Caenorhabditis elegans: one gene and its partner. The protein of the gene in region 2 interacts with the protein of the main gene of each other region in a pairwise test. Each region holds a gene or a part of one and is shown on either strand. Other genes may lie near its edges.

The links. Proteins that work in one complex are often made in the same cells at the same time.
Region 1: the proteins of ssp-31 (region 2) and edg-1 interact in binary tests that used the Caenorhabditis elegans proteins (3 or more experiments, as listed by UniProt).

Annotation. Positions count from the first base shown.
Region 1 is NC_003282.8:11,319,157-11,324,140, reverse strand, and holds edg-1 (Protein edg-1), read right to left. Parts: upstream 3,342-4,984; 5' UTR 3,336-3,341; coding exon 3,252-3,335; intron 3,202-3,251; coding exon 3,089-3,201; intron 3,040-3,088; coding exon 2,769-3,039; intron 2,725-2,768; coding exon 1,459-2,724; intron 1,353-1,458; coding exon 1,169-1,352; intron 1,110-1,168; coding exon 888-1,109; intron 845-887; coding exon 801-844; 3' UTR 505-800; downstream 1-504. Other genes in the region: his-47 (Histone H2A), read left to right, coding at 1-85; B0035.18 (Mitochondrial cytochrome c oxidase subunit VIc/VIIs domain-containing protein), read right to left, coding at 3,498-3,621, 3,673-3,821; gspd-1 (Glucose-6-phosphate 1-dehydrogenase), read right to left, coding at 4,364-4,451, 4,505-4,681, 4,733-4,934. UniProt on the Caenorhabditis elegans protein: Plays a role in regulating deps-1 cluster formation in the germline.
Region 2 is NC_003279.8:13,217,444-13,219,978, forward strand, and holds ssp-31 (Sperm-specific class P protein 31), read left to right. Parts: upstream 1-1,697; coding exon 1,698-2,021; downstream 2,022-2,535. Other genes in the region: ZK1225.5 (FSA_C domain-containing protein), read right to left, coding at 68-192, 242-373, 428-901, 946-1,004, 1,075-1,402.

The sequences.
Region 1 (4,984 bases), on a different chromosome or scaffold from region 2:
CGGAGTGACCATCGCCCAAGGAGGAGTTCTTCCAAACATCCAAGCCGTTCTTCTCCCAAAGAAGACTGGAGGAGATAAGGAGTAAGAACTTTCTTCTTTAAACAAACCCACCGAACCCAACGGCCTCTTTAGGGCCACAAATATACAAAATCCTACTTTTTCCCATTAATAAATTTTTTAATAAAGTTCATATTACATTTATTTTTAATAAGTTGTTTGCTTGAATGCAATATTGTTATAAAGTTTTCTACCTTCCATGTTCTGTCAGAAAACGTATGAGGAAATTCTAGAATTACGATAATTACAATTTTTCAATCCCATTTTAATAAATTTTGTATTGCATTTATAAGCGGTCTGCTTGAAATTCGAGCCCTGAATGCAATATTGTTATTAAGTTTTCACCTATATTTGACGATCGGTCAGAAAACTAAGGAAAACCATGAGCTAAGCCCTGCATACCACCCCATCCCCCACTATATCACAATGCCATAATAAACAAAGAAATTCGCGTCCTACCGATTTTATAAAAATGAGCGGTCTCATGGGATAATTAAGGGGTTAAAATGTTCACGGTGAGGTAGAATAAATCGGGAAAAATTATAAAAAATTCAGAGGGAAAACAATTAATCCCGAAGTCTTTGAAATGGGTAGAAGTTCCATCACGAAGACTTGGTGGGCTCAAAATCAGTGTCAGGTAAAAACCTGCATAAAGCATTTTACAACAAAAAACAAGAACGAAAAATTAACAACAAAGTAACAAAAGGAACACAAGGAACATTATAAGAAAGTTTCAGAGACGATCAGTCTGCATAACGAGAGAAATTCGAAGAGTTGCCATATGCGCCTGCAATAATTATAATTGAAAAAATCAGCATTAAAATCCATACTTGATGTTGTTGGCTTCACGCTAGATTCAGCGAAAAATGAACTATTGCAAGGGGACGCTGGGCGTGTCCAATGCTCCATATTTTTCTCGTTTTCCGCCCACAAATCGCGATGAAGTTGAGCCATTTCCAAAGATTTGGTTGTTGCAAGTTGCTGGCGTAGTAGGCGTTCATGTCGTGCAGAGTCACGAGATTCCTTGATACCAGGAGCAACGTAACGGTACTCTGCAAGAAATCAGAATTATTAATGAAATAATAATTACTTTTGAATTATATTTTCTTACCAGCTGGTGGCCAGCTTTCCAACGTTGCTTCGACTGGGATAACCAGAGGCTGAATGATTTCCGATTTCTTTATATCATGACTCCATCTTGGCCCAGTCTTTTCATATTCTTCTGTTGGAATGAGCTCTATGATCGATGAAGCGATACGGTCGTGGTCCGATTCCGACGAGGTTGAGCCGAAAACCTGTAAAGTTAGAAAATCAGAAAAGACACGACGAAAAAGCATTCCATTCATTTTCAGTGTATTTTTCAAATTAAAATCTTTCCTAGTGACAATGACAAAACATTACCTCCAAAATCTTCCCAGAGATCTCTTTGATACGCTGTGGACCAGCGTTTGCGATCTCGAAATTCTCCTCAAACGCCGTCTTCATTACTTTTTCCAGTTGTTCTGAGGATTCGAACGTGACTGAACTGTGACGCATGAGTTCGTCGGCGCACGAGATGTCGAACACTCCCATTGTGATGATACAATCGAGGTATTCCGTGAGAACTTCAATTGTTGGATCTTCAAAAACTGAGATGTTTTGATCAGTTTCGGGTGGAATTTCCTCGAATATCACTGCGACAAAAGCGGGCTTACAGCTTTTCACTGCCTCTACAGAAGCCTTGGGCTTTGGGCTCAGATGCAGTTGATTCATCTCCAGATTATCAACAGCGGTGTCCGATTTATGGTCAATAGATATCGCAGTTTTCACTGAAGATTCAGATGATAGAGTCGAACAACGTTCTTCGTCTTCTTCATTGATCGATTGATCAACAGTTTCGCTTTCCTCGATATCGAAAGTTCTTTCGTCGAATGTCTCCTTCATTTCTGCATTGATTGCTTTGTAGACTGCTGATGGAATGCGTCGCTTCTCAACTTCCAGAGCCTTGAACCACGTTGAGATTGCGAATTCTAAGGTCCACGGAAATTCTTTCAAAACCTTAGAAGTTAAGTAGCTCTTCGCTTCAGCATCGAACGGTTGCTCCATGTTTTGACCAATCGCCTTGAGAATCATTTTACAGTTTTCAATGACTGTATTCGATACGTTCTCGTCAACAATAATGTTGAGCAAGAAACAAATAATCGAAGGAGTCAAAAGAACATTCTCAGCTGGTTTAGTTCTCGCCGACGTGGCATACTTCAAATTATCGAAGTTTTCAACAATTTTCACAGCAATTTCGCTCAAAACTTCCACTGATATCATGGGAGTTCTGTTCTGAGTGTAGAGTTCGCAAAGCACCACTTCCAGAAGTGGCCATGCAGACATCAACGAGGGTTCCTGTCCTGAGCATATCACCCTTGCGAGTTGTTCCAAATTGCTCCACTCTTCGTCACTTGTATCCACCCAGCGCTTATTGAAAATCAATCTGCGGAAAACCAGAGCCATGAGTGATTCAACGCGATCGGTTTCGTATTCAGTGTGATATATTTTCAGCGGACGATCGAAGAACAATTGTGGCACTTTTAGGCACACATTTAAACAAAATCCAGTGATTTCGAAGTTCTTGAGGCATCGAGTGAAAATGTCCAGAAGAGTGGTGACTGGTGAGAAGAGCAGGTGCCAGCGCAACTGAAATATCAATATGAACTTTGTTTCAAAATTATAAATCCAACCTCTTCCTGAACATCGTCGTCGACCTCTTCAGGATTTTTGACAATTTCATCCAATAATCTCGCAATTTTCTCCCTGAATCGGGGAACGAGTGTTTCGAAATATGGCGTATAATCAATTTCGTGATATTGCCATTCCTTAACGAATTGCTCCTGGAAAAACTGCTTGCTCGGCTCCGTGAGCATACTGTACAGTTTACGCATGAGCAGGATGTAGTCTTTGCTCAGTCCGACGTCCTTTTGAGTTACACCTGCTTGGAAATACTGCATCGCACTGAAAATTTGTATAAATGAGGTTATTAAAGGTGACATTGTTCACATACTCCATTGACAGGTTAGAGGTGTAAAAGTCATAGACGAGGAAATCGGATCTTCTGTCCAAAAACTGCTGAACTCTGACCTTGTTCACATCGTACTTCTTGTAGCTGTAGAAAATCTGAAATAAAAAATAAAATATATTTATAAGCTAAACAATTGGAAACTCACATCCTCCAGCTCCTGCACCCATTCTTTGTTCATATCAAGAGTTTTTTGATCAGGCAGTTCGTACGAACTCTTATTCTCGACCATTTTTATCTATAAAGGGAGGTTTTTCGTGGATAGAAAATTTTAGATAAAAATATATGAATGTGGTACAAACCACAAAGTACTGATCAAGAATAAAACAAATAACTGAATAAAGAAATGATAGACTTTATTGACTTGTATTATTATGAATAATTTATCAAACATTTAGTGCTCGGCAACAACTTTCCCTTTCTCTTCGTACAATTTCGCCAATTCCTTTGGACAAGTATGCATGTACCCCTTGTTAGCAGAACAAATCTCTTTCATTCGAGTGTACGAATCGTAGTTTCTGCAAGTTTGCTCGTTGCCCGGGAGACACTTGTGCGAGGATCACACTGACGCGAAAAACTCTTCATATTTGTTGTGACGTGGCCAAACGTAAAATGCGTTGAATGCGGCAGTCGAGACGACAGCGACAGCAAGTGAAACGTAAATTCCACGTTTTCCATATGATTGGAGCATGTTCCGGGTAGCGGAAGCAGCAACCATGGCTGAAAAAAAGAATGAGTAATACGATGTGCAGCTAGCAAGAAAAAGACGTAAAACAAGAAAGACGTTTTTTTTTAAATCAAAGATATTGATACTTTAAAACATTTGTGCAAAAATGATGGGAAATCCGATGGAAAATGATAGAAATCCGAAGAAAATATGATTGAACTTGAACAAGAATTGAACAATATGATGATGCGCGACGCAACACGCGTCGCACGTCCACTACTGTAGAAGTAGAGTGTATGCAGAGTGTTTGCGGACTGGCGCACCGTAACCGGCTTGTCGAAAAAATGATTATTTTTTGAATACAGATTATTTAAAATAAGCCTTTTTACTGGCTTATCTTATCGTTCTACACTTCTTTTAACTGAAAACGTATTTATTTTCATTCATTCAATAGAACATTAACAAATGAAAAAAGAGCAGGAATAATATTGATGTGGAACACAGGAAAACATATGAACTAGTAGCTGCTGAATTTTTGAAGTTATTTCTACAAACATTTGAAAGAGAATGAATAGAGGAAGATCTGGTATCATTTATAGCTTTGGAGCAACCCATTTGTATGTTCCAGTGAAGATGAAACCGTACTTTTTCATCAATTCGTCACCTTCAGTTGGACCACGACTGAAAAATTGGATTACTGTATTTAATTTTAAAAAAAAAGAAACACAACCAACCTTCCAAATTTATATTGAACCGGTTGAACTTTCTTCTTTTTAAGCTCTTCGAGAACTGGCGTCAAAATACGCCAAGCGTATTCAAGCTCATCAGTTCGAACGAAATTAATTTGAGATCCCATGAATACTTCGAGAAATAGGCGTTCATAAGCATCAGGAAGACGGACTTCTTTGAATCTGAAATTATCACAATGAAATTTTTTTTGAAGAGAAATTTCAAAAACTAACCTATTATTATAAGTCAAATCAAGTTCAGTTTCTTCAACACCGAATCCCATTCCAGGTTTCTTGGTCATCAGTTTCATGTAAACTGCCTCATTTGGTTGCACTCTCATCACTAATTCGGATCGCTTTAATTCACCAGACGGATAGATATCTCCACTGACTTCTTTGAATTGTATACGAACTTCTGCTTTCTTCTCGTTGAGAGCTGCAATAATATTGAAATTTAAAAATTCGGTTTTTTTTTGTATATTCCCT
Region 2 (2,535 bases):
AAAACGTATCTGCCTATCATGATGACCTTAGTATTAGCTTCTACACAGCTGATAACATTTCACAAACCTTGCTCCAATAACCTGGTTAAAAGCGATTGCGTGCTTCTTCATCAAATCAATCTCTGGAACTGCAACTAATGGGCACATCACTTCGAACTTATCAATATTCCATTCTTTGTCGCCATAAACATTCTGAAGTTGTGTCAATTTTTATGGCTTTCTTTTTCCTTCAAACACGTACATATCTAACTTGAATCTTGAAGTTGAATTCCTCAACTGGGTTATCTATTAAAGTACCAATTTGAACTCTCATAGTTACTCTGAATACAAATCGATCGTACTCTCCACCAGTCAATTGCACCGCTGTGTGTTGCTTTTAAAAGGAAAATAAGAATGTTCTGTGAAACTTTATAGTTGTGATACTTACATCGCCTTTCACCGGATGATACATCTTCTGGAACCAGAGCCACCAATCGATAAAATTATACTTTCCGATTTTCTTCAACTCACTCCCGTGACACACTTGAATGTCGAGATCAGCAGATACACCGGTATAAGATAGCCAATTAAATGGGATTACAGACTCTTCTCTATCCATTGTGAATAGTTCATAGAAATGTTTGAATACTTTTTTCCTTGTATCAACTCTCTCTGGGTCAGTTTCATGAAGATCCAAAAATATATCAGTGTTTTCCAGATTCGTAACACCATACTCTGTACATGCTCCAACTTCTTCAATCCTTGTCAGTGTGTAGTTGCTGTATGGTTTTTCTCCGAGAAGTTCCATTTTAACAAGATAAGATATCTTTGAAGAGTACTCCCAAGTGGAATGTGCCATAAACGATACCAGGAATATATTGTCATTTATACTCTCCGTTGGAACAGGACTCCAGGAAACTTTCTGAAAAATAAAATGATATGTGAGTGTTTAAAATTACTGCCTACCTCTCCAGAATTTCTCCGGTACGTCCCTCGTTGTCGTTTCCAGAATTCAGCCATTTGATCTGGAATTCAATCTTTTTTTTAAATTCTGGACCAAAAACGGCAATACGCAATTGTAAAAGTTGAACTTACAGAAATTCAGCATTTCCATTCCACCGCATATCTTTCCCTCGAAGTTTATATCCATCAGACTATACAAAATATCAGCACTCTCTTGAAACTTATAATTGTGATTCGATGATTGTCTCAACAAGTGAAGAGCCACCAATTGAGCCGAATGATTTCTTGCAGCATCCACATCCTCCTGAGTCTTCCAATAAAACTTAAACCGTTGGATTAATCCATGTTCACTCAGCGAGAATCGTTTTCCAATTTTCTTGAAAATTTGTTGAGTCTTGTTCGATGTATCCGTAGTTGATATTCCAATAAGAAAGAACAGCGCAAGTTGAATAAATTTCATCTTTGTTGAAAAACTTGGTATTGTTTCATTTATTTGAAAATTGGATTTTTATCGAGATACAGTTTTCACGTAAATTGGTTGCAAAAAACTAGTTTATTTTTGTTTTACAATTAGAAGTATTTAAAATACATTTAAATAAACAAAATAACAATAAAATGAAAACGTAACCTCTCCTTAACTTCCTTATCAGTAAAGTTCATCAAAATGTTGATTTGTCCCCTTCCTTCTCCATATCCAATCATTCCCTTACATCTATTTGGTGATCAACTTTGTCTCCTCAAAAATAAGTCTACAAATGATCAACATCGATCCACCATCCGGCGACTACCCAGCTTCTGGTGGTTCATCAACTCACTACATTGTCTCCGAATCGGAATCTCGTTTGGCATTCAAAGTCAAGTCGTCCAACAATGAATCGTATCGTGTTCGCCCAGTCTATGGATTCGTTGATGCGAAGGGAAAGGCTAAGCTCGAAGTGAATCGTTTGGCTGGACCAGCGAAGGAGGACAAGCTTGTCATTCAATACGCCGAAGTTCCAGCTGATGAGACCGATCCGAAGGCTCCGTTTGCGGCTGGTGCTCAACAAGGAGAAGTCGTTGTCAAGATGGTTGCTAGCTAAGAAAGCTTACTTTATGGTACTTTTCATATGATAAAAATTTTTATGAGATTATTGATTTTAAATAAAATCATTTTTGTCGGTGTGGCGGGGTTTATAGCTTGTGTGCAAGTGAAAAGCTGTTAAAAATCGTAAATGCGCCTTGCCGGCGGTAGGCGGTAAGCGAACATGCCTACCTTCAATGGGAAACTCAATTGTCAGTAGTTGAGCTATTTTCAAAATGTTTTGTCGGGGACTTGTTTCAAATTTTGAGCGTTTTCAGAATTATATAACAAATTTTTTCTAGGAGACAAAAGCTTCCTGTTCAATCAAAAAACTGAGCTAAAAGTTTCTGAGACAAGTCTACTACGAAACATGAAAAAAAATTCTGTAGAATCGAATGTAATTCTATAATTGGAGTCTTCTTGTTTTTTGAGTTCGGTTTGACCAAAAACAGATGCACCCGATGAATCAGTTAAAGCTGAGTTTTGATTGATTGAAGTTTGAGGAGGCTTTATATTAGGAAAGACGTACCCAT